Oryza sativa Japonica Group: one gene and its partner. The protein of the gene in region 2 interacts with the protein of the main gene of each other region in a pairwise test. Links are inferred from orthologs where the notes say so. Each region holds a gene or a part of one and is shown on either strand. Other genes may lie near its edges.

Region 1 (4,243 bases), on a different chromosome or scaffold from region 2:
GTCACATGACAGCACGCCAAAGTGGTGGTGCATCTTCCATTAGAGTTAAACATAAGGGTTGGGAACATGACAGCTACATTTCGAGTAAGAAACTTTCAAAATCCATTGCTTCTCAAATTACTATGGTTCAAAAGTACAGAATAACTACTTGACAAACGACGAGTTATAAATTGGATATGGAATAATAGAAACTTTGGTAAGATACATGTTAATGAATGATGAATTACCTGGTCCATGTCATCACATGTCAGAACACCAAATATGCATGGGATCTCTGTGCAACAATAAAAAAATAATAAATAATCTGCCATAAGTTCCACTGAGAGTTACCCCAGCTGAAAACAAAAACTTACAGAATTAGGTTCCTACAGGCACTACACCCAAAGAGGTGAAAGCAACGTACCAGCAGACAATCCAGCAGACAGTACACCTGAAGCAGCAGAGTTTGCAACAGCATCGTAGTGGGTTGTGTCACCTCTAATCTGCAAATTAGCATAAGGAAGACTTCTGTAATCAAATCGCACCAACTACTGATAACTAAGGGCTTGCAAAAAATAGATATAAAGGTATTATCATGCCAAGAGCGGTGGGATTAAGGGAAAATACTTTGTGACTTAGTATTGTTAGCTAGACGGGCCTGTTTGGTAAAGCTCCAACTCCTAAATTTAGCTTTAGGAGTTGGGTCTGGAGTGGAGTTGTGGAGCTACCTAAACCCAGCTCCACAACTCTAGTTCATTTTGTGAGAGAGCTCCACCAAGCTCCACTCCCATTTTTGGTGGAGCTGGAACTGTTTGGCTGAGCTCCAGCTCCAGGAGGGGTGGAGCTAGAGCTGGAGCTGTGCCAAACAGGCCCTTATGTTAGTTATGATAAAGCTCCTAGTTGAATTTTGTCCAGTGTAAATTAGACATATGATTGGCATTGTTTAAAAGACACCCTGTAAAATATGAGTTACATAAACATTTCAGAACTCATTATTTGGCACACTGCACCAGGCTATATAGTATCTGAATCAGATAATTATGATGTGTCTGGAAAATAACCTAGACACAATCTTGGAGCCATGATATATGGTAATATGAACAAAAAGGCAAACAACTTACCACAGCGCCAATGCACAAAATTGCATCAAACTTTCCAGACTTCCCAAGCTTTTGTGCCGCAACAGGAATTTCAAAACTGCCAGGAACACTTACAACCTAAACAATCATTTGAATTAGAGTGAGGCAATGTGCACCAAAAGTTTCTGAAACTATTTAGAAACTTAAACAAACTAAGGCTGTTTACCAATCATGGATGAAGTCTGAATTCATATGTTTTGTGGATCACTTTATATGTCTGATATGCAACAAAGGTTGTACACAGCTTAAGTGCGTACCATGCTAACATTAGTTAACCTCTACTTATGAATGCTACATGTGTGAAGTTCATCTCATACATCGAAAGGTTATTCACAATTACAAATCCATGAAACATGCTGATAATATGTAGTTCATACATTGTCAAGCATGGAACAAAAGGAAAATAGTTAATGGGCCTAGAGAAACTGCATTACATTTTTTACTTCAGAACAGTATTTCTGAACAATGAAATAAGAAAGGAACAGGTGGATGGGCATGAAACATATATTAACCCTACAAAGTAGGTAAGTCATCCAACAAGAGTGCTATGCATGGTCAATACTTCATGACAAAAGTATTTTTTACCTTAACATCGGGAACAAGGGTAACAAAACAATTTTGTATGCATGCATAACGGTTACAATAGTGGTCATTATCTAAAAAAATAACGGTTACAATAGTGGTGATATGAATGATGTTCAAGACTAGTTAAGAAAAATGCTCGAACAATGATATGACATTTTGATGGCACAGGATTACTCCAATCTTTTTGAAACAGAAATTCACTCAGAACAAGAAAGATGCATACTGTTATATTTTCTTTTTTGACGGAATATCTCTCAAATGTCTCAAGAGCTCCCTGCAGTAGCAAGTTGGTGACAATCTCATTGAACCGTGCCACAACCTGTAGGACAAAAAACAACAACAACAATAACAACAACAACAACGTTAGGCAGTTGAGGAGAAAAGGTGTCGAGATTTTTCAGTAAACAATGGCGTTTCAGTAAAGCAACATTTTTTAGACCAAACAACCAGGTGTTTTCAGCATTATCAATAAAGCAAACGAATCAAATAGTTCCTCTGGGGAAGGAAGCTTTACTAGTAATCAGCTAGAAATTGGCCAGGAGCAATGTCTCATGTGAAGCACAGAAAACACACAATCAAACTTCACGAATCAGTAAGAAATTGGGCAGGAAGCTATCTCGCATGTCCATGTAGAGCCGCGTCAACTCAAAGTTAGCCCAATCTACAGTCATACACAAGTCAACAATGGGAGAAGTGGAGGACACACTAACTCACCACTCCAAACCTGAGCCCCTGGGTGTTAGTCAACGACCCCATAAGCCGCTGGTGCCCGCCGCCGGCGGCGACCACGACGGGGCTAACCCGCGAGGCCCGAGCGCCTGCAGCCAACGCGGCCGGCCGTGCTGCACGTAAGTAGACAAATTACAGAGAAGAGGAAAAATGAAATCAGGACGAGTAAGAAAAGACTCAGATGGAGAGAAAATTTGGTTGTCCGGCGGGCGCGTACGGGAGTAAGGGAAGGAGACGGTGGCGGCGCGCAGAGGAGCGTCGGATTGCCGCGAGGAGGAGGAGGAGGAGGAGGGCCTCGCGGCCGCGGATGACGTCGTCGCGGGGGCAGCCGCCGCCATCGCCGCCGGTGGGGTGGGGTGGGGTGGGGTGGTGCAGGGGAGGAGACGGCCCGGGAAGTCGGGGGGAAGATCTGGCTGCTCTGATCGGGTGCGGTGCGGATGACGTCGCGGCGTTTCCCTTCCCTCGGGCCCGGGTTTGTAGGTGAAAAGAAACCCACGTTCGTTTGATGTCCAAAAGTTACTCTCCTCCGTTTCATATTTAAGTTTGGCAAAGTTTATAAATAAAATTATAGTAGTACTTATAATCTCTATCTCTATCTTCTCTACTATTATAAAAATTAAAGATGTTTTTATCAGTACTTTGTTACGTCATCCGTTTATGAGTCGGTTTCTAAATCCGTTCGCTTTTAGAAATACAAAAGGAGTTGTATAAGAAAACTCTCATGCTAACCTTAAACGAGCGAACTCCTAACTGCAGCTCATGATTTTTTAAAAGGAAAATGTACGAATTTTTTAAAAGGAAAATGTACGAATTACACCCCCCTGAACTATTGTGGTAGACTGGTAGTATGATTTACCCCCCCCCTAAACTACAATATTACAATATTGGACATTTGACACCCCCAAACTCTTAAAACCAGATAAATTACCATCCTAACTCGATTCGAAGCGGTTTTCAGCCTACGCCTACAGTTAGAAAAACAAATACTGTGGGACCCACTTGTCATCGTTTTTCTCTCTCCTCTCTTCTCTTTCGGTGAACAGAGGAGAGAGCACCCGCTGCCGGAAGGGATGGAGGCAACTGCGGGCAGCAGGGGGGAGCCGAGGACGAGGGTTGGAGGGGGCGGAGGCAGCTGCGAGCAACCGACAGGCAACAAGGGCGGTGGGACGTGGAGCGAAGCGGCGGCGAGATCCTCCTTCCCCTCTTCCCCACCGTCGCGGCGGCACGGAGCTCGAACACACCTGCGCTGCTGCGGCCTCTCCCTTCCCCTTCCCTGTGCGGAGCCCACTGACCGGTTCCCCCTCCTCGTCTCACGCCGCTGCCAACCGCCCGCCCCCGCGCGCTGCTGTCCGCTGCCAGCCACACACGCCTGCTCCCGCGTCGCTGCCGCCACCGCCCTCCTCCACAGCGTCGTCGGCCGCCCGCTCCGCCTCTGCCTCAGCGGTACAAATTATAACGAGGCATGGTCTCATTGTCAGTTGTCTCGACTCTCGATGTATCAGATATTCAGATGACGGAAGTATTAGTATATATATCAGATACATGTAAAGGATTCATCCCAAGCTTTGACCGAACAAAATTTTCCGTTTCATCATGAGTTCACCGTTTCTTACTTCCAAAGAGCATAGCTCACGACAAGAAACACAACACAAAAGGTTTGCTCCCAAAGTTGTGGAAGCAAGCAACGGAGCAAACATTTCCGTTCCTCACTAGAGCTCATAAGCTGAGGTTACTAGTATAAGACGACGAGGCCTTTAAGCAGCAGCATCGACTTTTCGAGCTTTATTTGCCCTTTCATGGCCGTCCGAGTG
Region 2 (4,305 bases):
TATATTTTGCTGTTGTTTCCTCCAAGAGAAGCAGCACTTGAAAGCAGAACTAGCTTTAACAGCTCAGGGAAAGTAACATAAACACTGTACTCACCAGCAACCTAATAAATCCCAGAATGTAGAAACCCCATGCCTGCAGATAAGCTGCTTTTAAAAGCATAAAGTGATCTAAGCTTACTTGTGCCATCGCCAACATTCTTCAAGCTTGTTTGCTCCAGTTAATACACACGAGAAGCAAGTTCATAGAATGGGAAAACAAATGATACATTGTGCCTACTGCAGAAGCAAATGGTTTGATCTTTTCCGAGAGTAAAAGGGAAAAGATGTTCTAAGAAAAAAAAACATCAAGGCTGCATGCAGTAAAAATACCTGCTTGTGTGTATTTGTATTTCCCAGGATTTTTTAGTCTTCTAATGGTTGTACCAACCATTCGCACATTAAATTGCTCAACAGTAACTCAGATAATATGTCTAACAAAAATTACCAGAAGACATAATTTCTGCTGGAGCTCTATATTACTTATCCACTAAGTACATCAACAGAGCCCACATGTTTAGAAATGGATAACAAAGAAAAGACTGTCCGAACCACCCAAACCAATACATGTCAATACAAGATAAAAGTGTTATTTAAATAATTTGAGAAGATTATTTGGTTATTTTCTCCTTGGTTTAGCAAAATGCAACCAACATCATTATTGAGAAGCAAACAGCAAATGCATGCTTACACACAAAACAGTGAATGTATTGCCCAACTTGAAAATGAGAGTGCTATGAATACTGTTTGACAAAAACAAGAAGTTATTTTTGTTTGCTGCAAAAAAAAAGACTTGACAGAATAACTTATTTTTGTTCTTTACAAAAAAGAAGACTTCACAGCATTTTGTTTGATTTAGAAACAAATACTACAGACAATTCTGCCCATTGAAAATCGGAGAGAGATAGAAGATATCCCTTTCATCCTTTAGCACCTTGTTGTGAAATTCCAAGTAAGCAATATATAATGGCAGTGAACCAGCTTTTTCTTAAAACATGTTTTTGTAGATGAATTAGAACAACCAAACACCTTACCAAAGAGGAATAAGTCCACCTGCACTGGAATTTACCACATGTACTTACCCTTTTAATAGGCCCATAAGCTTCAAACTCCCGCTTGACCCTATGCTCAGACGTCTCATAGTTCTGTAAACGTTTGCTGGAGTCAATAGGAAGTAACATACAAAAATAATACCAACTATGTAGTTCAAAATAATTTGTGAATGATGCAACAAAAAAACTTACAAGTCTTGCAACAAAGAGTGTTTTGTATGGATCTCCAGTGGCATTGGGGTCACTCTGTGGGTCATCTACATTAAGAAACCACACCAATGATGTTATCAGTATCTATCATATGATACAAAGGGAAGAGCAGCTAAGAAAGAACTTACATTTCTGAAGCTCTTCAGCCACCTTAGCCGCACCTTGGTCAAGCTTACTTTTGCGGATCCTATCCTTCTTTTCAGCCTGCGTAAATAAAACATAATCACCAAGTCATGACCTGGAATGATGAAATGACAATAGGCACGAATAATACAGTAGATCTAGAAACAATAACAGACATGGAAAAAAAAAGAGTAAAGCCAGTAGTGCCAACAAAAAGCTGCGTATTTGACATAGTCACATACAATTACCAGAAGAAGAATTTTGGCAAACAAATGTTTGGACAGCTACACATGTCTTATTTTGAGAGAGTTTTCATGTGGTGAAAGTGGAAATATTCATCTCAGAGGTGGGAACATTTGACTCCAACTCTTACCTCGCAATTTCAGGTAGAACTTATTGGACCTAATTTTCCTGTGCTGACTATAGTGGAACAATGCTCAAACAGTCAAATTGTGAGTGACTTTCCAGCAGGTGTAGTCATAGAAGCTCACATACTAATACTAACAGTCTTAAGAAATCCTGATTGTTCAGAGACCAGCAAGCGTTCTGACACCATTACAAATAATTGATTTTGTCGATTGAAAAAAGCAACTATATGGTTGTGGAAACTATGCAATATGGTTATGGCCACACGAAAAGTATACCATTGGCATAAATACGACATGGTCACGACAACATAAGAAGTAGGAACATCTTGCACTACGGAGACATAAAACAAAATGCAACACTAACGATTGCGCTTCAAACGAGTTAAAATTGATACAGAAAACAAATTTGCAGCAGTATCAGTATACCTTGGTCTCGCATGTGGGGACGGGTGGCGCGTACTCAGGGTCACCGGGCTCCGCAAACTGCGACACGAACTGCGCCATCCCTGCAACCAACCAATCAACAACAAGAGTGAGTCCATCCATCAGGAAGCAACTCATCCACAAAATAAATCTAACAGACAAAATTAAAAGAAAAAAATATATTCATAATCCCCCTAGAACCGAACAGATAGAATAGAAGATGAGGCGGGTGAGGGAATATACCAGTGTAGGCCGGCAACTTGCGCTTCTCGACGGGCGGCTTGAAGTCGAGCGGCGGGCGGGGCTCGAAGAGCTTGAGCAGGTTGGGGGTGAGGCCCGTCGGGTGTCCCTGCCCCATCTGTGGTCGCGAGCCATGGAGAGAGATCTCAGATCGAGGCGGATCCGGAGAGGAGCTAGGGTTATAGCAGCTAGGGTTTAGGGGGGGGGTGGGGGCTTACCAGCTTGAGCTGCTGCACGTTGACGCGCTGGCCCTTGGTGCGGGACTGCATCCCGCCGCCGTCCGGGTTCCCCCGCATCATCCCGCTGCCGTAGTCGCCCATGGCCGCGGCGCCGGCGGTGGCGGCGGCGGCGCGAGGAGAGAGAGAGAGAGAGAAGCGAGAGGGATTTGCGATTCGCGAAGCGTTGGGGGATCTCTCTTTCTCTCTCTCGGGATATTAGGGGAGGAGAGAGAGAAGTAAAAAGAGGGGGAAGCCGAGACGGAAGAATTTTATGTGGGGCCCACACGTCAGCGCCCTCTCGCACGGGCCCATGCGTCGGTGACTTAGTGTATGCTTTTGCTGCCTGAGCGTTGCAGGGATCTTTGCTGCCGCTATTGAATCACGGGGGCTATAATCGTGTGTCACATTTTTTATAAATAGTAAAATGCCCGTGCTAACGCTACGGCGATATTTGATGATGCAAATCCCTTCTCTACTATTATAAAAATTGAAGATGTTTTCGTTAGAATTTTGGTACATCATCTGTATTGGAATAGGTTTTAATTTTATGTTTCTATTAAATCATACGCGTACGAAGTAATTAGGCATGCACCTTTTTACGTGCCCCTTGCCGCTTGCAGACCTGCGCCTGAGTTCATTTTCCACATACGCCTCTGTGCTCCTCTGCGATTGGGCCCGCAACACCCTCACGCGTGATTTTTCGCATGCCTGATTGGGCCCGTGACGTCCTCTTAAATCTACCCTATTAGCATATAAGCACTTTAAGGGAAAAAAAACGAGATTCCCACTTGATTTAATCTTTGGTAAAAAAAATACAAATTCCTACTTGATTTGATCTTATCAGGCCTTTATTTACCTGCATGATATCATCAGGCTTCCATTTACCTATATCTTCTTCAAGTTTATTGGACAACCTGATTGCAATTAAACGGCATATATTTTAGTTGTGGTAATTAAGAATTAACATTTAGTTACCAAACGTCCATCATTGATATTATTTGGATGCAAATCGACGCACATACCTCATGAGCACATGGGAATGAGGATATGAAGAGGAGCGCTGCTATAGACCTAGGGATGAAATGCTCCAATAACAAATGGTATAAGCACAGCAGAGCCATAATATATAGAACTGGCCATCGTTCCATTTTACTGCCTAACGATAGGTTGAAGGCTAGCAAGCCAAGGAAGGCTATATACCTCTCAGTTCTGACAACTACCTTTTCATGAACTCGTGGGCTTTTTTAAGCTAAACCTCAGAAGACAATAGGGAAAGCCTGTTTTTCATCTAAGAATAAAAGACTTGGCCTATTATTTTAGAAAAATTGGACCAAAAAACTCACAAACACTTGCCCATGAACCTGTCGGCTAAATATTGTAGTGTAAACTTATCTGCTGCAAGCAGCTTTGGAGTAAATCTACCCTATCCTAAACCTTTCTTACATGCATATTGTTAGTTTGTACCAAGCACAAGAAAATAAATCACTCACTTTAAAACCATCTCAAAATTACATATATGCCCACTTTCATCCATTAAAGGCATAGCTGCAACTTATAAATCTGAACTGTACATATATGTGTCAACCATGAGTTTACAATCGAAAGGGGAAAGAATGGAAAAACAGTTAGAAGAGA

The links.
Region 1: the proteins of U1 small nuclear ribonucleoprotein 70 kDa (region 2) and 6,7-dimethyl-8-ribityllumazine synthase, chloroplastic interact in binary tests that used the Arabidopsis thaliana proteins (3 or more experiments, as listed by UniProt). The link is inferred for Oryza sativa Japonica Group from reciprocal best matches to the Arabidopsis thaliana genes U1-70K and COS1.

Annotation. Positions count from the first base shown.
Region 1 is NC_089038.1:25,376,181-25,380,423, forward strand, and holds the start of 6,7-dimethyl-8-ribityllumazine synthase, chloroplastic, read right to left. Parts: upstream 2,880-4,243; 5' UTR 2,771-2,879; coding exon 2,650-2,770; intron 2,546-2,649; coding exon 2,418-2,545; intron 2,023-2,417; coding exon 1,927-2,022; intron 1,197-1,926; coding exon 1,101-1,196; intron 483-1,100; coding exon 404-482; intron 275-403; coding exon 228-274; intron 1-227. Other genes in the region: la protein 1, read right to left, coding at 4,187-4,243. UniProt on the Arabidopsis thaliana protein: Catalyzes the formation of 6,7-dimethyl-8-ribityllumazine by condensation of 5-amino-6-(D-ribitylamino)uracil with 3,4-dihydroxy-2-butanone 4-phosphate. This is the penultimate step in the biosynthesis of riboflavin.
Region 2 is NC_089044.1:1,015,623-1,019,927, forward strand, and holds the start of U1 small nuclear ribonucleoprotein 70 kDa, read right to left. Parts: upstream 2,857-4,305; 5' UTR 2,773-2,856; coding exon 2,671-2,772; intron 2,571-2,670; coding exon 2,456-2,570; intron 2,296-2,455; coding exon 2,216-2,295; intron 1,503-2,215; coding exon 1,427-1,502; intron 1,346-1,426; coding exon 1,281-1,345; intron 1,182-1,280; coding exon 1,119-1,181; intron 1-1,118. UniProt on the Arabidopsis thaliana protein: Mediates the splicing of pre-mRNA by binding to the loop I region of U1-snRNA.